3 linked regions of the Arabidopsis thaliana genome follow. The protein of the gene in region 2 purifies or fractionates together with the protein of the main gene of each other region. This does not show direct contact. Each region holds a gene or a part of one and is shown on either strand. Other genes may lie near its edges.

What was found. Proteins that work in one complex are often made in the same cells at the same time.
Region 1: the proteins of SAHH2 (region 2) and AT4G30910 fractionate together in Arabidopsis thaliana (co-fractionation; one large-scale study listed by BioGRID). This does not show direct contact.
Region 3: the proteins of SAHH2 (region 2) and LAP1 fractionate together in Arabidopsis thaliana (co-fractionation; one large-scale study listed by BioGRID). This does not show direct contact.

What each region holds. Positions count from the first base shown.
Region 1 is NC_003075.7:15,040,559-15,048,020, reverse strand, and holds AT4G30910 (Cytosol aminopeptidase family protein), read left to right. Parts: upstream 1-2,676; 5' UTR 2,677-2,772; coding exon 2,773-3,003; intron 3,004-3,185; coding exon 3,186-3,600; intron 3,601-3,693; coding exon 3,694-3,888; intron 3,889-3,999; coding exon 4,000-4,225; intron 4,226-4,315; coding exon 4,316-4,442; intron 4,443-4,517; coding exon 4,518-4,760; intron 4,761-4,845; coding exon 4,846-4,906; intron 4,907-4,989; coding exon 4,990-5,177; intron 5,178-5,271; coding exon 5,272-5,400; 3' UTR 5,401-5,664; downstream 5,665-7,462. Other genes in the region: LAP2 (Cytosol aminopeptidase family protein), read left to right, coding at 12-237, 324-450, 526-621, 717-794, 885-945, 1,019-1,206, 1,301-1,432; AT4G30900 (DNAse I-like superfamily protein), read right to left, coding at 5,818-6,089, 6,176-6,270, 6,458-6,672, 6,788-6,889, 6,976-7,058. UniProt on the Arabidopsis thaliana protein: Presumably involved in the processing and regular turnover of intracellular proteins. Catalyzes the removal of unsubstituted N-terminal amino acids from various peptides. Possesses Cys-Gly dipeptidase activity.
Region 2 is NC_003074.8:8,586,161-8,592,797, reverse strand, and holds SAHH2 (S-adenosyl-l-homocysteine (SAH) hydrolase 2), read left to right. Parts: upstream 1-3,043; 5' UTR 3,044-3,126; coding exon 3,127-3,837; intron 3,838-4,038; coding exon 4,039-4,785; 3' UTR 4,786-5,176; downstream 5,177-6,637. Other genes in the region: RALFL24 (ralf-like 24), read right to left, coding at 5,975-6,331. UniProt on the Arabidopsis thaliana protein: Adenosylhomocysteine is a competitive inhibitor of S-adenosyl-L-methionine-dependent methyl transferase reactions; therefore adenosylhomocysteinase may play a key role in the control of methylations via regulation of the intracellular concentration of adenosylhomocysteine.
Region 3 is NC_003071.7:10,285,008-10,292,535, reverse strand, and holds LAP1 (Cytosol aminopeptidase family protein), read left to right. Parts: upstream 1-2,850; 5' UTR 2,851-3,085; coding exon 3,086-3,136; intron 3,137-3,261; coding exon 3,262-3,670; intron 3,671-3,765; coding exon 3,766-3,960; intron 3,961-4,056; coding exon 4,057-4,282; intron 4,283-4,385; coding exon 4,386-4,512; intron 4,513-4,589; coding exon 4,590-4,685; intron 4,686-4,769; coding exon 4,770-4,847; intron 4,848-4,938; coding exon 4,939-4,999; intron 5,000-5,098; coding exon 5,099-5,286; intron 5,287-5,387; coding exon 5,388-5,519; 3' UTR 5,520-5,730; downstream 5,731-7,528. Other genes in the region: AT2G24205 (ECA1 gametogenesis related family protein), read right to left, coding at 774-1,118; AT2G24195 (uncharacterized protein), read right to left, coding at 5,946-6,043, 6,478-6,625. UniProt on the Arabidopsis thaliana protein: Presumably involved in the processing and regular turnover of intracellular proteins. Catalyzes the removal of unsubstituted N-terminal amino acids from various peptides.

The DNA.
Region 1 (7,462 bases), on a different chromosome or scaffold from region 2:
GTATCTTACAGCCGTACTAGCTGAGGAAGCCTTGAATCTGGCTTCCATGTACAGTGATGTCATGACTGCCAACATCTTGAACGAGGAGCAATGCAAAGAGTTGAAGATGGGTTCATATCTTGCTGTAGCTGCTGCTTCAGCTAATCCACCTCATTTCATACATCTTATCTACAAACCTTCTAGTGGCCCTGTTAAAACAAAACTTGCTCTTGTTGGAAAAGGATTGACATTTGACAGGTACTAGAGCTGTTGGCTTCTGTTTGCCGCATCAATCTCTTTATTTAATACTTATTAGTTATTGACCAGATGGTTTTTGTTCACAGCGGTGGCTACAACATTAAAACCGGGCCTGGCTGCTTAATTGAGCTCATGAAATTCGATATGGGAGGTTCAGCTGCTGTTCTTGGCGCTGCAAAAGCCATTGGTCAAATTAAGCCTCCAGGTGTTGAGGTAAGTTTATCACACGGAGCTTGCGTTTCTGAGTTAAATGAATGTACCTAAACAAATGCTTCGTTGCACAATCAGGTGCACTTTATTGTCGCAGCTTGTGAGAATATGATAAGTGGTACTGGAATGAGACCTGGAGATGTCCTCACAGCCTCAAACGGAAAGACGATTGAGGTATCATAACACCGTTTCCATATGAATTCAGCTTCAAAAGGTTCGAGCTTTCCATTGTTAGTTTTACGCCAAACTAATTGTGGGTGGTATTGCAGGTCAACAACACCGATGCTGAAGGTCGACTAACACTTGCAGATGCTTTAGTTTATGCTTGCAACCAGGGTGTCGATAAGGTATTGTTTCAAAGATTCTTCGACTTATTAATACATTCTTTCTGTTGGTTTTTCTCTCAAGTCTCAACTTGTGAATTACAATATTTGCAGGTTGTTGACCTTGCAACATTGACTGGGGCTTGTATTATTGCTCTTGGAACATCAATGGCAGGTACATAGTCTTGTGTTTTAAATAAGACAGAATAAAATTCTTTCGTGATGGTTGACTATTGGTTTTTCTGCAGGCATATATACACCTAGTGATAAGCTTGCAAAGGAGGTGATTGCTGCATCAGAGAGGAGTGGAGAGAAGTTATGGAGAATGCCTATGGAAGAGAGTTACTGGGAGATGATGAAGTCAGGTGTTGCAGATATGGTTAACACTGGAGGCCGTGCAGGTGGATCCATTACCGCGGCTCTTTTCTTGAAACAGGTGAGTATATCATAAGAGTGGAAACAAAAGAACACATTTCAATACTGACGCTATTGTTCTCTAACGAAGAACCGGGTTTGGTTAATGGTTGCAGTTTGTGAGCGAGGATGTTGAGTGGATGCACATAGATATGGCTGGACCAGTGTGGAACGAGAAGAAGAAAGCTGCAACTGGGTTTGGAGTTGCGACACTAGTTGAGTGGGTACAGAACCATTCTTCTTCTTAAGATGAAGTCTGGTGATCTCTGACTGATGTGAACTAGTTGTGTTTTTGCTTTGTGTGGTGGGACAAGTTTTTTTTTTTTGTGCAACTAAGTATGACAAGTTAAATCAATCAGAAGATTAGTTTTGTTGTTGTATGCTTACCTAGTCTAAACTTAAATTCAACAACCACCGTGAGAGACACAGTTGAGCCACCGTTGTTGCTGTGTCCCGTCATGTTGTTGTATTTGAATGGGTCCGTGAGTTGTTGAGAAGGAGAGATAGTCGCCGTTCATCACCACTACAGCCACCGTGTGTCACCGGAGAGTGACACCACGAGTCACAGGATGTCAACCGCTGTCACCGGAGTAGTCGTAGTCCATCGCCAAGGCCGTTAAGGGTAAGGAAACCCTAGATCTATTATGTAACTTGCTCAGGAAGTTTTTGGCTTTCTCTTATGATCTGTGCTTTGTTTTGGTTTTGATTGTTGAGCTATGAGACCTTACTGCCGTGAGCTTAAACCGCCTCATCGAGCCCCGAGCAGATCCACCGAGAGTAATCGCCGAGAAAGGTAACGGCGAACCTTATCTCCCGTGTTTGTTGTTGATTATTGAACCGGATCTTAACCAGTCTAAACCAATGACTCTTAATTTAGTTAAGACCAGAACCGAAACCAATGACAATTTGCGTTGTTGGTGTATTATTACGTCTGTGTGGTGTAACTAGATTATAAGAATTTGGTTTGGTTTAATTATTAAACCAAGTCTAATTAATTTAATTGGAAGAATACCAAATCAATTAATCGAGATTTCTAAATTTGGTTTGGTTATTAGATTAAATCATGTATTTTTAATTGGATTTCACCTATTGATCCACAAATGAGTTACAAAAGTGATAATACTGACGTGTTTTTCAATTTCTTTTATCACTTCGTGTAAGAATGCCTTGAAATATTTGAATTTCTATAAATAGTATCAAAACTATGTTTTGTATAAACAACTTTAAATTTGAAGGCAACAAATAACAGTAGTAAGTATTTCAGATATGGTTATCAAGATAAGTTTAGTAATAGTGAAACATGATCACATTAAAATTTGAAAAGAAGTCTACAGCTAATCAAGATTGTTAAGATCGGGTCGGATAATAGCAATAGTGAGTGAGTCAAGTAAAAGAATAATCATCGTCAACAAGACACGACGGTCGGACGCGGGCGGACGCAAGAAGAGACTGGGCCACTCTAATTTTCTAAGATAACTCTAATTTCATACTATATATATATATATATATATATATGTCTGCATCAGCCACTCTGTTCTTCTCCTTATAAATAAATATAAAGAAGCTAAGCTCAGTGGAGACTTCTCAAATGGCGGTCACTTTGGTAACGTCATGTGCTTCTTCTTCTCGCTTCCATTTCCGCTCTTTCTCCTCTTCTCCGTCGTCTCTCTCCTCTTGTTTCGTACGATTCCAGTTGCTGTCTCGCCTTAGAGTCTCTTTCGCCATCACGCCTCTCTACTGCTCTTCTAAAGCCACGGCTCATACAATCGCACACGCTACTCTTGGCCTTACTCAGGCCAACTCCGTCGATCATCCTAAGGTTTGACTTTGCTGTTATGTGTTTAAACTCGATACTAGTGAATGCTTTGTAGATTCGTCGCTTTACTGTTTCCGATTAAGATGATCCACTGATTTGCTTACTTCGATTATGGTCAAGTCTTGTCAGAGATTAGCTTTCCAGATGCTTAACTGGATTCTGATTACTCGAGTTTTCTGTATCAGATCTCATTTTCCGGGAAGGAGATTGACGTGACTGAATGGAAAGGTGATATACTCGCTGTTGGAGTGACGGAGAAAGATATGGCTAAGGATGCCAACTCCAAGTTCGAGAACCCCATACTGAAGAAGCTTGATGCCCACTTGGGTGGACTTCTAGCTGATGTCTCGGCTGAGGAAGATTTTTCTGGGAAACCTGGCCAGTCAACAGTTCTTAGGCTTCCGGGTCTCGGCTCAAAGCGGGTCGGTTTGATTGGTCTTGGAAAATCTGCTTCAACCCCTTCGGCTTTTCAGAGTCTTGGTGAGGCTGTTGCTGCAGCTGCTAAAGCTTCTCAAGCTAGCAGTGTTGCAGTTGTTCTCGCCTCCTCTGAGAGTTTTTCTGATGAATCTAAGCTCAGTTCTGCTTCAGATATAGCTTCAGGTTGTGATTTCTTTTAGTAAACCTTGAGAAGTGCTTGTTTCATTACCATTTTTGAACTGATCCTTTTGTGGAATCGTTTTTTACTTTTGACAGGCACAGTGCTTGGTTTGTTTGAAGACAGTCGGTATAAGTCTGAGTCAAAGAAACCATCTCTCAAATCTGTAGTATTCATTGGCTTTGGCACTGGACCTGAACTAGAGAACAAGCTTAAGTATGCTGAACATGTTTCTTATGGCGTAATTTTCACGAAAGAACTTGTTAATTCACCAGCCAATGTTCTCTCCCCTGGTATGGATTATAATCATACTCTTAGACTTCTCATGTTTTTTATAATGTGAGCATCATGTCTATTGAAGTTTATTTCAAACATTTGACTCTAATCTGCTTTGTATCTTACAGCCGTACTAGCTGAGGAAGCCTCGAATCTGGCTTCCATGTACAGTAATGTCATGACTGCAAACATCTTGAAAGAGGAGCAATGCAAAGAATTGAAGATGGGTTCATATCTTGCTGTAGCTGCTGCTTCAGCTAATCCACCTCATTTCATCCACCTTATCTACAAACCTTCTAGTGGCCCTGTTAAAACCAAACTTGCTCTTGTTGGAAAAGGATTGACATTTGACAGGTACTCGCAAGAGCTGTTGTCTTCTGTTTGCCGCATCAATCTCTTTCTTTTATACTTATTGGTTATTGACCATCTGGTTTTTGTTCACAGCGGTGGCTACAACATTAAAATTGGGCCTGAATTAATAATTGAGCTCATGAAAATCGATGTGGGAGGTTCAGCTGCTGTTCTTGGCGCTGCAAAAGCCATTGGTGAAATTAAGCCTCCCGGTGTTGAGGTAAGTTTATCACACGGAGCTTGAGTTTCTGAGTTAAGTGAATGTACCTGAACAAATGCTTCTTTGCACAATTAGGTGCACTTTATTGTCGCAGCTTGTGAGAATATGATAAGTGGTACCGGAATGAGACCTGGAGATGTCATCACAGCCTCAAACGGGAAGACAATTGAGGTATCATTACACCGTTTCCATATGAATTCAGCTTCGAAAGGTTCAAGCTTTCCATTGTTAGTGTTGCAGGTCAACGACACCGATTCTGAAGGTCGGCTAACACTTGCAGATGCTCTAGTTTATGCTTGCAACCAGGGTGTCGATAAGGTATTGTTTCAAAGATTCTTCCCCTTATCAATAACATTCTTTCTGCTGGGTTTTCTCTCAACTTGTGAATCATATATATTTGCAGATTGTTGACATTGCAACATTGACCGGGGAGATTATTGTTGCTCTTGGACCATCAATGGCAGGTACATAGTCTTGTGTATAAAATAGACAGAATGACATTCTTTCGTGATGATTGAATATTGGTTTCGATTTTTGATTTCTGCAGGCATGTACACAGCTAGTGATGAGCTTGCCAAGGAGGTAATTGCTGCATCACAGAGGAGTGGAGAGAAGTTATGGAGAATGCCTATGGAAGAGAGTTATTGGGAGATGATGAAGTCAGGTGTTGCAGATATGGTTAACTTTGGAGGCCGTGCAGGTGGATCCATCACCGCAGCTCTCTTTTTGAAACGGGTGAGGATACCATAAGAGTGGAAACAAAAAAACACACTTCAATACTGATTCTATTGTTCTCTAACGAAGAACCGGATTTGGTTAATGGTTGCAGTTTGTTAGCGAGAATGTTGAGTGGTTGCACATAGATATGGCTGGACGGGTGTGGAACGAGAAGAAGAAAGCTGCGACTGGGTTTGGAGTTGCGACACTTGTTGAGTGGGTACAGAACAATTCTTCTTAAGATGTAGGCAGGTGATCTTTGTGCTCCCAGTTCTTATTTAACATTCTCAGAGGTTTTAATGTAGGTAAAAGGGTTTTTATTTGCTTGTGTGAACTGTGAAGTGTGACGCTTGAATATGACGAGTTACCCATTTGAAAGTATTTGACTATTTGTAGATATTCTTGTGTTCCGTAACATCACTTACCTAATAACACAAACTATTAGGAGCACAAGATGAAGGATACAAGTCGTCAATCTTATGTTTCAGTGGTCATCAATAATAACACAAACTATTAGGAGCAAACAAAACAATTTATTTAAATCTCTTTTGAATATGTTTTAGCTCAAATCAATAAATAAAGGCGCCGAGAAAAAAACAGAGCTCATTTGCACAACAATCAGTATAGTCCAAAGCTTAAGCAAGTGAGGACATGTGTTCTAGCTTTCCTCTTGAGCAGGAGCAGAAACAGGAGGAGTAGGTTCAAGCATTCTTACAGAACGAGGAAGCATAAACTCAGCAAACACAGGGTAGTGAGATGAAGGATACAAGTCGTCAATCTTATCATTTACGATCTCGCACATTACAGGAACTATAGATCTACCTCTGTAAAGTATCCAATCCGTGTGTAGATCTTGCGTCTGTCGGTCCCAGCAGAGGCATAACGCTCTGAATATCAGCTTCAGGAACTCGACCGTTCCCTGCTTGTCACCTGAACAAAGGCCCAACATGTTATGATCTAGAAGCTTTGGAGATAAATGATTTTTATAGCTCATGAGAGGGTGGAATGTTTCACACCTTTGAAATCATGGTATGTTCTTATGAGAGCGACGTTTTTTCTTACTCGGGCACTTGGCCATGCGTCTCTCATATCTCCTACCACACCATGCTCTCTGCAAGTTGAATGATGCCCAAAAGCCATTCATCAGCAGTCAAATAAGTAAATATGCTTTGATTTGAAACTAGTTGATCAGTGTGTGAAGAATGGTTTAGCCATTCTTGCATTAACTAGGAGCCCTGAAAGAAAACTCTAGGAGATTGGTAAAAAGCACAAAACTTGTGAATGTGATATTAAGGTACCTAGATCTGCCCAACAGAAACCGCCCTGTTGTTGATTCCTTCTGTGTGTTGAATCCTCCACAGTACACAACCGGCAAAGTGGGAGGTAATGATGCTATGTGTTGCCATGTGAGTAAAGCACTTCGCCTACGGGCACGAGGGCTGATTTCATCCAAGTTTGTGTTGACTATCTGAAACGAAAAACCAGGCGGCTCCGCTCCTTTAAGTTGGAATGTGTAGGCAGCTTGTCAAAGAAAACCAAAATACTGATATATAGGACAAAAACACCAAAATCATAAACTAATCTAATTATAGTTTAACTAAAATGAACCCAACTAGTAAAAAGGATATAGCCCATGTCGCTATACAAGGAACTGCGGAACCCCATGCCGTGCTTCCAGGGACCGAGGGAGACTCTGACAACCAAAAAGTTCCACCCTCTAGCAGCTCTACCTTCAATTAGTATAAAGTATAGTATCAAGCAGCGTATTAATTATTTAGAGCGTAGTTATGTATTGTCTTATCAACCGAATTAATACTTTTTCCTTGTTGAAGAAGATGGTGCAGTGTTCATCATTAGCATCCCCAGGTCCTGTTCTTGATATGCCAAATTGATCATAGGCTGCAAGCAAAGAGTACTACCATCTATTTAAGTTCAAAGAAACAATGCAAACTGAAGTATTATTAAGGCATGTGAAACTAGAAGCTAAGCTCCATGGTTCACAGTAACAAAAACCAGATAAACAATACCACCATCATTTCAAAGAAAGCACCTGTAAATGTGAGAATATCATGCATTCCATTGCCATAAAACAGATGCATTAAGTGCACTAGACTCCGGCTTTTGTAGCCTAAAAACACTAACTTGAACTTGATGCAAAAAAGGATACGGATTGACAAATTGGCTATCAGATTTAAGCAATACCAACATATACTAAAAATAGAATTAAATCTAGTAGATCACAAATAGATTTACATAGTAGATTGAGAACAAGAAGAGTGGTCTACGATTGATAACAAGATTCA
Region 2 (6,637 bases):
GTCTCTTTAATCATCCGCGTAACTCAGCAACTCAACACAAACACCCCGAGAATTTCAGCAACCGAAGTATCCGAACCAATAACGTAATATGTTCTAAAGTTCCCTAAACTCTTACACCTTATTTTGTTACTTTCACTGACAAATTTTAAAAAGAAAACTAAAAGTATCGATTTGTAAAGAGTGAAAATCAACCTATTCTATTCATGGCTTCATGCAATAAACATCTTCATGGATGTTTTATCAGTTGGGTATCGTTTATTTTTTATCTATTTAAGTAGGCCCAAATTTTGAGTAGACCAATAATAACCCATTAATGGCCCATAGTTCTAAAAATGAAATTAATCGATGGTTGCTTTTATGCATGTTGATATGTATAAGTGTATAACCATGATCCAAATATACTGCTTTCTAAACGCATGCCTTCAACAATATATTACCATGTTCGAGGCTGCTCCATTTGTTATCTTCTTAAATCCGATACTTCTTTAGAATACATTTTTATCAGTTTGAAGCGCGTTATTAATAACATGTATATAGAAAATGTACTGCACTAAACAATTGACATTCTGTTTACAAATATTTTTAAATAGAAGACAATTGACATTTTAACTAGAAAACGAAAAGAATATTGAAAACGAAAAGTCTTAAGTGAGTATACTTTTGGTAACTTTCTTTTTGAAGTATATAGTTTGTGTGGAGTATAATCACGTTTAAAAGAAACTTTTGGGAATGTGGTAGTTGAGACTTGAGAGATTGAGAACTATTCTCACCGACCCACAAAGTGCCAAAGTTATTTTGGAATCAGGTTTACCAATGCCAATTATGGAGCTTCATAATGAGTGGCGTGGCCCTTCAATTTCTACACACACAAAAAATAGACGCCGTGTCACTTATAACCAAATATCTGTCGACATTGTGACGTTCACTAATGTTTGAACTTTATTCCTACTTTTATTTTTTCGTTTCTTGGTAAGAATTGATATGTGATGTACACTTTATTTGTTGGTTGAGAATTGATTTTCCTAAGCCAATTTTTGTTCTTACATCAAATACAATGTATATATCTATTCGACTATTACAAAAGTACTTATGTATGAGAGGTTTGGACTAGTGTCCCACCACAAAACTCATAAATTAGCTTTAGCCACATGCTGAGCTAAAATAATTTTATTAGGGTAAGAAAACTAGACCATAATTTTTACTCAAACAATAATATAAATTAGATCAACTAATGTACCTATACTAGTTATATATCTCTGCAAGATATCAAAGGAACAAATTGACATGGCTCGTGTACTTGCAACGTCTCATTTCTTGTTTAAAATACTCCAAATATTTAGGAAACACAAAAAAAAGGATATTTAATGAGTTCACCTTATTTTGCATTCGTTTATTATTGGTGTTTTTTTTGTTGGTAGGGTATTAATTCAGATCCACCGACGCCCTTCCACGATCCAGTGCACCGACGTTCATATTTTTTCTTGGCTCAAGAAGAATAAGGTGGTACATTCAATAATAACTAATGTTTAAACACACACACACACAAAACTATCGGTGTGAAACAGAGATAATGGAAGAACGACACTATTGGCCCAGACGAATAAGAATTAAGATCTATCGGTCTGAATGTGTGATGTGTGAAGGCTTGCTAGTGCACCAAAGTTCTAACCTTCTTAACCTTATCATGTAAAAATCACGTCTCTGATCTATCTGCATCATAATATTAATGTGTTTTTATCTTGCATGCCATTTGACAAATCACCTGTTAGATGTCATAATATATACTTCAATGTTGTTTTACGAAAACAAGTTTTCCCTAAATCTTTAGTAGTACGAATAACGTGTTGGTTATAGTTTCCTCGTAAAACTTGATCTTCCAAAGACTTATGAACCTTCGACTTTTTGTTGCCTTAAAATAGCAACAAGTTTCCTTAAATTGCAGGAACCACTAGAGCTTCAGAAATTTCATGGAATTGCAAACAGTTATATAAATTTCCAACTGATAATTGCAACCATTTGAAGGCAAATAATTATTTGCTCATCTTAATTTATCGTTTTTTTCACATATAACTTTGAATTTTTTCTATTTTTTTGGTTTATATACTTCGAAAATCTAAGATGAAGAAACAATGTCATCAAGATAATGTAAAAGAAAAAGCTTGGAACAAAAGCAATATGTGTTTCACAATTCACATAACACTTAAGCATGATCATAGTTCGGTCATGATCTAATTACATATCACTTTTTTTTTCTTTTGTAAAATCGATGATTCTATATCAAAATATAGGGAATTTTTGAAAAAAGTTTTTTTTTTAAATTATGCCTATAATATACTTATTGAAAAGTAATTTTGAGACAATTTTTTTTGTCACAAATCTGTGATATTTAGATACTATATTATGACTAAAATAACTCACAAATTCATAGTAATTTCATCACTATATTTGTGACGAAAAGGATCATAACAAAATTTGTCACATTTAGTGACGAACATCCGATGATAACTAACACTGTCACCAATGTCTTGTTACAAATTAGTTACGAACTTGTAACGAATATGAAAATTGCAATTTGTGATATAAGAATGAGTTAACATTAGTCACAAATTAATATCAATTGTTTTATGTATTATACAAAAGACCGTTTTTGGTAATGATAATATGTTGGCCAAATGATTTTAAAATATATTGGCCAAGATTAAAACCAAAGATATGAGTACTTTAGAAAAATTTGTACGTATTAAAAAAAAAACAATTGATGATAAAATAACACAAAACTGTTTTAGTTTTATTTGCATATGATAATATCAGATTTGTGTAAAAAAATTTTATACATCTGAAACAGAATTTTTCTTCATGTTCCCCTTTTTTTGCAAAATAATTAGTATCAATAATTATTGATTGTATGATTAACCCCATTTTTGAAAACAGAATTGTCACTCTTTTCGGAATATCTAAAAAAAAGGATGAAAAGTCAATATCTTTTACCAGATCCACCAAACTCTCTCTACAACTAATCTCAACCGTCCATCTCACTCCCGCCTTTATCTATTTAACCTCACTCCCTCACCATTCTCTTCCTCCTCCTTCATCACACAGATCCACACATCAAGAAACTATTCAAAAATGGCTTTGCTTGTAGAGAAAACCTCAAGTGGCCGTGAATACAAGGTCAAGGACATGTCCCAAGCCGACTTCGGCCGTCTCGAAATCGAGCTAGCCGAAGTCGAAATGCCTGGACTTGTCTCTTGCGTTACCGAATTCGGACCATCTCAGCCACTCAAAGGAGCAAGAATCACCGGTTCTCTCCACATGACGATCCAAACCGCGGTTTTAATCGAAACCTTAACCGCTCTCGGCGCTGAAGTCAGATGGTGTTCTTGCAACATCTTCTCCACTCAAGACCACGCCGCGGCCGCTATTGCTCGTGATTCCGCCGCGGTGTTCGCTTGGAAAGGTGAGACTCTTCAAGAATATTGGTGGTGTACAGAGAGAGCTCTTGACTGGGGTCCTGGAGGTGGTCCTGATCTCATCGTTGATGACGGTGGTGATGCTACACTGTTGATCCATGAAGGAGTTAAAGCTGAAGAGATCTTTGCCAAGAATGGTACGTTCCCTGACCCGACCTCTACTGATAATCCCGAGTTTCAGATCGTCCTGTCTATTATCAAAGACGGTCTTCAAGTTGATCCCAAGAAGTACCATAAGATGAAGGAGAGATTGGTTGGTGTCTCTGAGGAGACTACTACTGGTGTTAAGAGGCTTTATCAGATGCAGGAGACTGGAGCTCTCTTGTTCCCTGCCATTAACGTCAATGACTCTGTCACCAAGAGCAAGGTAATGTGGCACATTATAGCTTTAGAAGACACTAGATCTGATATTGTTTTGCCTAATTTGTGGATAATACAATGTTTTGAAATCACCAAAATATGAATGATATTGTTAATGGATCCATTTAGGTGGAAGCAAGAACTCTGTTTTTTGCTCTGTTTCTGCTCTGCATTTCTCTGTTTCACTGATGATTTGTTTGCTTTATAGTTTGACAACTTGTACGGATGCCGACACTCGCTTCCCGATGGTCTCATGAGGGCTACTGATGTTATGATTGCTGGAAAGGTTGCTGTTATCTGTGGTTATGGTGATGTAGGAAAAGGTTGTGCTGCAGCAATGAAAACCGCGGGTGCTCGTGTCATAGTGACTGAGATTGATCCAATCTGTGCTCTTCAGGCTCTTATGGAAGGTCTTCAAGTTCTGACCCTTGAGGATGTTGTCTCAGAAGCTGATATCTTCTGTACCACTACTGGTAACAAAGATATTATTATGGTTGATCACATGAGGAAGATGAAGAACAATGCCATTGTCTGTAACATTGGTCATTTTGACAATGAAATCGACATGCTTGGACTTGAGACCTACCCTGGTGTGAAACGTATTACCATCAAGCCACAGACCGATAGGTGGGTGTTTCCTGATACCAACTCTGGCATCATTGTTCTAGCTGAAGGTCGTTTGATGAACTTGGGATGCGCCACTGGACACCCGAGTTTCGTGATGTCGTGCTCATTCACCAACCAGGTGATTGCACAGCTTGAGCTCTGGAACGAGAAGTCAAGCGGGAAGTATGAGAAGAAGGTCTATGTTTTGCCTAAACACTTGGATGAGAAGGTAGCTGCACTTCACTTAGGCAAGCTTGGTGCAAGACTCACCAAGCTTACCAAGGACCAATCTGACTATGTCAGCATACCCGTTGAAGGTCCTTACAAGCCTGTTCACTACAGGTACTGAGAGGATAAAAGAGCCAAGCTTTGGTTCTTCGTTTGGTTTTCTGATTAAGCCGTTTATTGGCAATTGTTTGAGTCGGATTGGGTCTGGTTTGGTCGGAGAAATATGAGATATTGGTCTTCTGATGCGTGTGACCAAATATTGGTATGAATAAGGGGTTGTTTTTGATTTATGAGAGGCTGTTTTTTTGTTTTCTTCTTCTTCTATTTTATATATCTTCAACATAAATTAGCTTATGCTTTACATTATTGTTAGGCTTATTTATGCTTTGTTCTGTCTACTTTTCCAAACAAGAGTGAAAACAAAATACGCAAAGTTATTTTTTGGCTTCATATTACTGGAATTCTTTTGCTTCTTTGAATTGTATACCTATAAATCGTCTCATGAATTTTCTAACGACTCAAAGACTGACACTGATTCATCGTTTGGTAATTATAACAATGGGGGTGCTGTGTTGTGACCACCGAGATAACACTTTGACAAACCTTGAAACGAATGGAACATGGATGGAGTTCAAATCCGAGGTTTGTTCGGTGAATGTAAGAAACCAAAACACTCAAATTGGTCTCTAGTCACAGAATTCTACTATACCAACTCCTTCAACATGATAAGCTATATATCAAAGAGTCTTGATAACAAGTTACTGATTTGAACAAGACATGAGTATACCGGTTTCCTACTCGAAATCACACAACACAACACAAACACAAACTTAAGCCAAAACTCATCTGAAACTCTTTAGGCATTTGACAAATGGAGTTCAATGGAGAGTCCAAGAGTCAGGTTCTTGAACTTACAAGAACAACCAAAATCAGCTTTCTAATTAAAACATTATTGTACTCAGATCAATTGCTTGATGAATTCAAACCCATCAAAGATCTAAATCCATTATAAGAACCATCTCAATTCTTCACATACCCTGCCAAAACTTCTAAATTTGGTCCATAAGTACCCTAAACAAGCTTAAAACCCAAACTTTATTCCACAATCTTCCATCTATTACTCCACTCAACACTTTCAAGACTATAAATATCAATTACTTGAACATTAATAGCCAAAATTACATATCAATAATTAAGAAATCTAATGTAAACAACAACATTACAAAACAAAAGACAAGAATAATAAGATTTCACTTGCCTCTAGAGCATCTGAGTTTAAAACTCAAATGTACTTAAAGACCCCAATGTTTTCAAGTCTTGATGTCGTTAGTGTCTCTAGCACACCTAGTAATGACACTACATCCTCTGTTGTAAGCATTAGCCTGACCAGAGCGACAAGCGTAATAAGAAGCACCTGGTTTCTGACAAGGAACCATATCTCTCCTTAAAGTTTCGTAGCTTATGTACTGTTTCCGCATCATCATTACTCTCCGACTTATCTCCGATGGCATCATCTCCTCTCCTTCTTCCTCTCCGATTACGCCGTTCCGGTTCAGCATTGCGTCGATTTCGCCGTTTACCGACGGAATCGGAACTGTGACGGAGATTGAGAGATGGGTTTGAAGACAAAGTAAGGATAAGTAAACGAGAGCTAAGGATCTAGACATGTCGGTGTGTGAAAATTTGGTAAGATTGTGATCTCTGTGTTTACGACAACTCCAAGTAGCTCTTGGGAGTTAAACCGGTCGGTTTAAGTTGGATTGATAGAGAGTTTCAACAGAATTTGTAACATAAAGTATTTAATTTAAATAAAACTATTTTTTTCATTGGGTTCTTATCCATTTTAAAAAATATTTATTGTGGTCCACTAACAAACACTTGGTTCCTTTGAGAATCCACGATTAATTGTTGTTTTCTTTCCAACTGCAATGTTTTTTGTTTGTTTATAAGTTAATTAGTAACGTTAATGGTAG
Region 3 (7,528 bases), on a different chromosome or scaffold from region 2:
TATAAAAATAATTATAGAATGTGGTTCGACTTCGGTTTGGATATTTCGGATTTTGAATCGGTATGCATGTGATATTCAATATCTGATTTAAACAAAAAATCTAAACATAATCCAAACAATCCGAAAACCGCAAAACAAAACTGAAATGACTAGTTGAACTAACATGAAACCTTAGCAAACCATAGAGTTGGGAAACCAAAGTGAGACATAAAACGATGCCAATATATCAAAGTTTTAAAGCGAAGGTAAACCATAACATCCTAAAAATTAAAAAAGTAGCAGAATTCAATCGAAAGTAGTAAAAAAATTTTGGAAGATAGTGAAAACAAGCCAGCCTCAAGCTTCTTATTAGCTACATTTTCAAACTTGGACATGTCCCTGGTACAACAAAAGACACAAATTCGGATACATATCGAATATTGCATCGGATCAAGTATAATCTGGTACCTATGGATATTGAATGCGATTCGGATTTTAATCCGATTTTCCGGTTTGGATTATCGGTTTCAGATTAAACGCCCAAGCCTAGTTTTAATTAGTTAAGTTAGATTTAGTTTACAAATTACGCTTTTATTTATAAAATACTAGTAAAGTGAGCTTTTGGCCATCTTAAATATTTTTATTTTTAAAAAAATGGGATCATGGAAAGAGTTAAATTGTTACGGTGGCAATTATTTATATTTAGTAAAGTTATATTAAAAACTGTTTTTTAAGTGGTGGCAACTACCACCTCTTTACTAGGCGTGGATCCCTCAGAACATTGTTCTTTCAAATTAGTGGATCCCTGCCTGATTACATTGTTCTTTCAAATTAGGAGGGAAAAGTACACTGTATAGAATATTTGGCATGCATTTTATGCTATCCATGAAAGCCTTACAACAAGCGGGCATCATGTGACCGAATTTCTCTCCAAAAGCTTGAGAGATCTCTAATAAGCATCCTGGAACATTCCTCACGGACGAGAAACATTTTTTTACGTCTGGTAGGTTTAGTATACCAGTCGAGCGCAGAAATGGAAGCGGGTTTGAGAAAATAATCGGATATTGCTGTAGTTGAGCATTTACAGAAACTGCTACACAAATGGTTACTAGAACAAAAAGTACATTCTTTATCGTCATGATATATATTCTTATGGCAAAACAAAAGAAAAATTAAAATATTCTGATGTGTGATTCTTTTTCAAGTTTGTAACTGGGTGATGAAAATAACATGGGATTATTGTCTGATTTATATGAAAGAAATGAAGAACTGGCTTTAATTATCTTTAATGAAACTCGTTCGAGTATTTATTTGCCTATTTGGTAATTAATTTGCGGTTTCCAACATTGAAAAAGAGTTGAAAATGTAACGATTGTCTTTCAAAAAACGCATTATGAAAATGGAACCATGTCCATGTTAATATCACTCTCACCATTCTTAGTGTTATTAACTAATATATATTATGGAAGAGTTTTCTGTTCTCTTAATGTGTACATATCATCATGGTAAACATCCAATCAAACAAAGCCATGTCACCATTTTTTTTTTTTAACACTAAATTATAATTACAATGTTCATTTAATAAATATTTATTTCTATTAATATTAATTATTAACAAAAAACTAATAAAATAAAAAATGATTTTAAAATAGTAAAAGTCATAATGTGAAATTTTATTAGTAACAATAATATTATTAAAATTTTAACATAAACACAATTAAAAATGATCATACTTCAAAATACAAAAGAAAAAAAGAAGACAAAATTCAGAAAAAGAATCAAAAGATACATATGACATGTGAACAAATGGGTAGATTAGTATATATTACATGTTATACACATAATCATGTAGTCAACTTTTTTTAAGTTAGTTATTGAATTATTAAATTTTTATGGTCATACAGCCTAATTTCTCATGTATCAATTAGACCATTGTCGACAAAACAAAATAGAAAAAATAGTTGAATTGATTAGGCTCCATGTTTGACTGGTACGCCGTGTACTTGTCAATGTTCCGGACGGCGAATAGTATTTTTGATATTAGGAAATGGGGTTTACCTTCAAAATATTGGTGTGGACGGATTTGTGGATACTTGATCAGATATCAAAGGCGGCACAAAATGACCAACGATCGACGAAACAGTGCCCAAAATCAGAGTCAGAAGTGACTAGCTCGATAGCATGATCGATGCCCTTTCACCCATTTAAACCATTCCACCTAGAACACTTCAACACGACTGAAGCTAAAACTTTTGCATATCTCATAGAGATATGTTTGATAAGGTTGCTGAAAATAACAACTTCTACTATAATTTTGTCTTTTATTATTTCGACCTTCTCTTAAGAAATTCGCCCAAAAAAATTTCCAAATCAAAAAGTTGTTATTATCCTAACAGATCTTAAATTATATGTTTCGATTTTCGGTTATATACTGGTAAAATCTGAAATCCGAACATTAAAAAAAAATTGAAACCCAAACGGATACTCAAAAACACCTACAACCCAACCATTATACCAAAAAATAAAATCCAAACGTAAACCCAAAAAACACAAAACAATATATACACATATTTTTGGATTTTAAGGATCATTTGGAGCGTTTTTCTATATACATCGTTTAGGTTTTTGGAGTTTTTCGATTCAAAAATCGAATCAGAACATATTTCGATTCTATGGTCGCATTTTTTTTTTTTCGAGAACCATTCCGAACCCGTATAAATCCAAAACGAACCGATCGAAACATATTCAGTACCTTCCGAAATCTCCCTATCTAAAAAATCCAAAACCATGTCTTACCCTACAAATCCAAAACCCGAATTACCCTAATAAAATCCGATTCAAAGTCCGAATGTCTAAAAAATCCAAAACCCTATTTTACCCTACAAATCCAAAACCCGAATTATCGTAATAAAATCCAATCCGAAGTCCGAATGTTCAAGCCTAATTGAGCTACTCACTAACACACATCACACATGTGTAAATCACACCTAACTTCTCCTTCTATATATACGCCTTTGAAAGACCAATCCTAACTTTTCATTGTTTACTCTTTCGTCTTCCTTTTCAGAGTTCAATCACACAACACCTCTCTTCAATAGCAATAACCATGGCTCACACTCTCGGTCTCACTCAACCCAACTCCACTGAGCCTCACAAGGTTTGTTTCCTTCACTGTGATTTTGAAATGATTTTGTATGGAATCCAGTTTTGATTTAGTTCAAAGTTTTGATTTTTTGATTGATTCGAGTTTGAAGTTTTGATCTTTTGGTGACGATTATGCAGATCTCGTTCACTGCGAAGGAGATCGATGTAATTGAATGGAAAGGAGACATACTCGTAGTTGGTGTGACAGAGAAGGACTTAGCCAAAGACGGTAACTCAAAGTTTGAGAATCCGATCTTGAGCAAGGTCGATGCTCACTTAAGTGGACTTTTAGCTCAAGTCTCTTCCGAGGAAGATTTCACTGGGAAACCTGGTCAATCGACTGTTCTCAGGCTTCCGGGTTTAGGATCAAAGAGAATCGCTTTGATCGGTCTTGGACAGTCTGTTTCGTCTCCGGTGGCTTTTCATAGCCTTGGTGAAGCTGTAGCTACAGTTTCAAAAGCTTCTCAATCTACTAGTGCTGCTATTGTGCTTGCTTCAAGTGTTTCTGATGAATCTAAGCTTAGTTCTGTATCAGCTTTAGCTTCAGGTAACTTCAATTAGTATAACACAAGTTCGAGTCTTGTTTAGTACTGTTTTGGAAATTGGAACTGATTTGGGGTCTCATTGTTTATTTTTGGATAGGCATAGTACTTGGTTTATTTGAAGATGGTAGGTATAAGTCTGAATCAAAGAAACCATCTTTGAAAGCTGTTGATATTATTGGATTTGGAACTGGGGCTGAGGTAGAAAAGAAGCTGAAGTATGCTGAAGATGTTTCTTACGGTGTAATTTTCGGGAGAGAGCTCATTAATTCTCCTGCCAATGTGCTTACTCCTGGTATGAATTGTTGTCATTTATGAAATCAAATATTTTCGTGTTTGTGTGGTGTTCGCTGAGTTTTCCTAAACTGCTTTGATTTTTGTATCGTTTCAGCTGTACTAGCTGAGGAAGCAGCAAAGGTGGCTTCTACGTACAGTGATGTCTTCACTGCAAACATCTTGAACGAAGAGCAATGCAAAGAGTTGAAGATGGGTTCTTACCTAGCTGTTGCTGCTGCGTCGGCTAATCCTCCTCACTTCATCCACCTTGTCTATAAACCTCCGAATGGCTCTGTTAAGACCAAACTTGCTCTTGTTGGAAAAGGATTGACCTTTGACAGGTAACTAATCATTCTGTATTGCTTTGAATTTTACTCTGTTACGAGCTGGTATCTTTTCTTTGTTATTTTAGTGGTTGTTGATTTGAATATCTTGTGTACACAGTGGTGGCTACAACATTAAGACTGGACCTGGCTGCTCAATTGAGCTCATGAAATTCGACATGGGCGGTTCAGCTGCTGTTCTTGGCGCTGCGAAAGCTATTGGTGAGATTAAGCCTCCTGGTGTTGAGGTTAGTTTCTCCCATCAGATTCTTTTGAAAGCTATAGTTTGTTAACCGAACTGAACAGATTCGTCTTCCACAACCAGGTTCATTTCATCGTTGCAGCCTGTGAAAATATGATTAGTGGAACCGGAATGAGACCTGGAGATGTCATCACTGCCTCAAACGGAAAGACCATTGAGGTATCTGATGATTTTTTCCCCCTCAGAGTTGAGCTTTTACTGTTTTTCCTATGAAATGCTAATTGTTGGCGATGGTGTGTGTAGGTCAACAACACAGATGCTGAAGGTCGTCTAACACTCGCAGATGCTCTAGTGTATGCTTGTAACCAAGGCGTCGACAAGGTATTGCATTACTTTATTGATATGAGAAGCTAAAGGAGCTTGTTTCTGTTAAATTTATCCTTTCAGTTAAACATTGTCAAATATCTTGCAGATTGTTGACCTCGCTACTTTGACCGGGGCCTGTGTTATTGCTCTTGGAACTTCAATGGCAGGTACACAGCTCAAAAACCCTGCAGAAAAACTCAATCTTTGTGTCGTTTTTGAGTCCAAAATTGGCTCATGATGATCATTCTGTGTTCATTACTTGATAGGAATCTATACACCTAGCGACGAGCTTGCAAAGGAAGTGATTGCTGCATCAGAAAGGAGTGGAGAGAAGCTGTGGAGGATGCCACTGGAAGAGAGCTATTGGGAGATGATGAAGTCTGGAGTGGCTGATATGGTCAACACAGGCGGGCGGGCAGGAGGATCCATCACCGCGGCTCTCTTCTTGAAACAGGTGAAAACAAAGTCCCTTTAGAGGCTATACATACATGTTTTTGACAAAAAATTCGTCGGTGAAAGTAACTAAACCATCCTCTATTTTCTGTGGTATGGCAGTTTGTGAGTGAGAAGGTGCAATGGATGCATATCGACATGGCTGGACCGGTGTGGAACGAGAAGAAGAAGTCTGGGACCGGGTTTGGTGTTGCTACGCTTGTTGAATGGGTACAGAAGAATTCATCTTCGTGAATGAAACCTAGAGAGCGTGAGGGAGAGACTGTAGAGTTTTTCGGGTGTTGAAATGATTGCTGGTTTTTAATAAGGTCTCAAAAGTTACTATGTTTTCAGATGTTCTTAACTTGTTATGAAAAGTAAAATCGTCAAAAGTTGAATAAAGTGGTACTTTGTTTTAGTCGTGCAAAAATACTGTCTGAAATTTCTACTTTTGAAGTCTTCAACATTGGGTTCTCCTTTTCATTACTTTTTTCGGTAACCACTTCAAATTTTATGAACCATAATGTCAAATGCAATAATTGAACATCTTTTGAAAAAAAAACAGCATATGAGTGGTTACAAAACATGACTTTTATCTATCATAAAATAAAATATTTTTTTGATAATATTTTGAAGTAACTATTCTACTTAATACTCCTTTTGTTCCTTAGTACTGATTTTCTAACCGGTTTGCCCAGGTCCACGCCTTGAAGCACTGGGAAGTACACGAACCTTCACATTGTTGAAGATCTTTTGATCCCAAACCCTGTTTCCTATTTCTTTCAAAACAGAAAAAAAAGAAGCAACAATTAACAAATCATTTCTGTTATGCCAGTTTATTGCTTACGTATCTAGAGGAACCAATCCAAATTGAAAAAGAACTGTATGTCCATACCGGAATAATTATTACAAAAGCCAAAAATGAAGAGATATTATTACAATGATTCAGTTTTAGTTTTCATATATAATGAGCAAATCGTAAATTCAAACTGCGATGATAAAGTAAAATTGACGACTATTTTCTATGGATATTCTTTGATTTTAAAGATATATTTGCAAACATGGAATTATAACCAAAACTATATAACATTCGATTTTCATTCAATATCTCTGTTTTCTAAAACGGAAAATTTGAAGTGTATATTTAATACTCTACAATCAAATTAAACAAAAATCGAATAGTATACAAAATTGCTTGGAATATAAAAATTACTTGGATTTGAAGACTCATGATGTACTCGGGCCAATGCTGTGTTTGATAGTCCAGAGAGCAAGAGAAAACTCAAAGTTAATAAGCAAACGACGAATTTATACATTTTGGGTTGATTTAGATCTATGAATTCAAAATGTAATTCAAGCATATATATATAGAGAGATAAATGAAGCCCACGTTTTACAGTATTCTTTTTTATAAATGAAACCAGGTCAAAAAAATGGTTTGGTGTGTCCCGCGTGCAATGAAAAATTGAAAATTCATATGTGAACCTAATATATTATTATATCTCTCAGCGTGTTTCATTTTCAATATACAATGAAAATGCGTATGTGACTCTTGAAAATGTAAGATTTTCTATGAATTAGTCCAACTCTTGAAAATGTAAAGTTTTCAGGAGAAGAAGGTGGACGGTTTTATTAAGATCGTGTCAAAAAAAAAAAAAACAATGATTTGTAAAATAAACTAAACTTTCGACTAAACGATTGTAACCATTTATAAAAAAATTACGTTCAACAATAGAAGGTATTTATTCGGATTACAGTTTTCTGAAAAAAAACAAAATCATACAATATAATTTTTGTTTTCAGAATCATATATTTAACAAAAAATTGCGATAAAATAACACAACTGAAAAATATTTGTTCAAATTACTACTATTATATAAATTAATCTATTAAAAACTATAAAATATTTGTTTAAAACTTTTTCACCATTCAAACATTCATACTGGATAACATATTATTTTCTCATTATTCACACATTATTTTGAGCTGTTTGTAGCGTTTTTCTTCTGCATAATGAGTTTTCCTCCAACAAGTCGCATCACATAATTTAATCTGTTTGTTCTGCACATTCTGATTACCATATATATCGCCTCAGCTTTACATATATATAGATTTTGTTATATATCTTATGTCTAAGCTATTTTCTTTTAACTATTCTTTATAGGCCGCTTATGTTAACGAAAACACTAAAATCATAACCAAAACTATTTAATGGTGAGATTATTGGGCCACTCACTCTTTACCTTTTCCAAGAACATCAATTT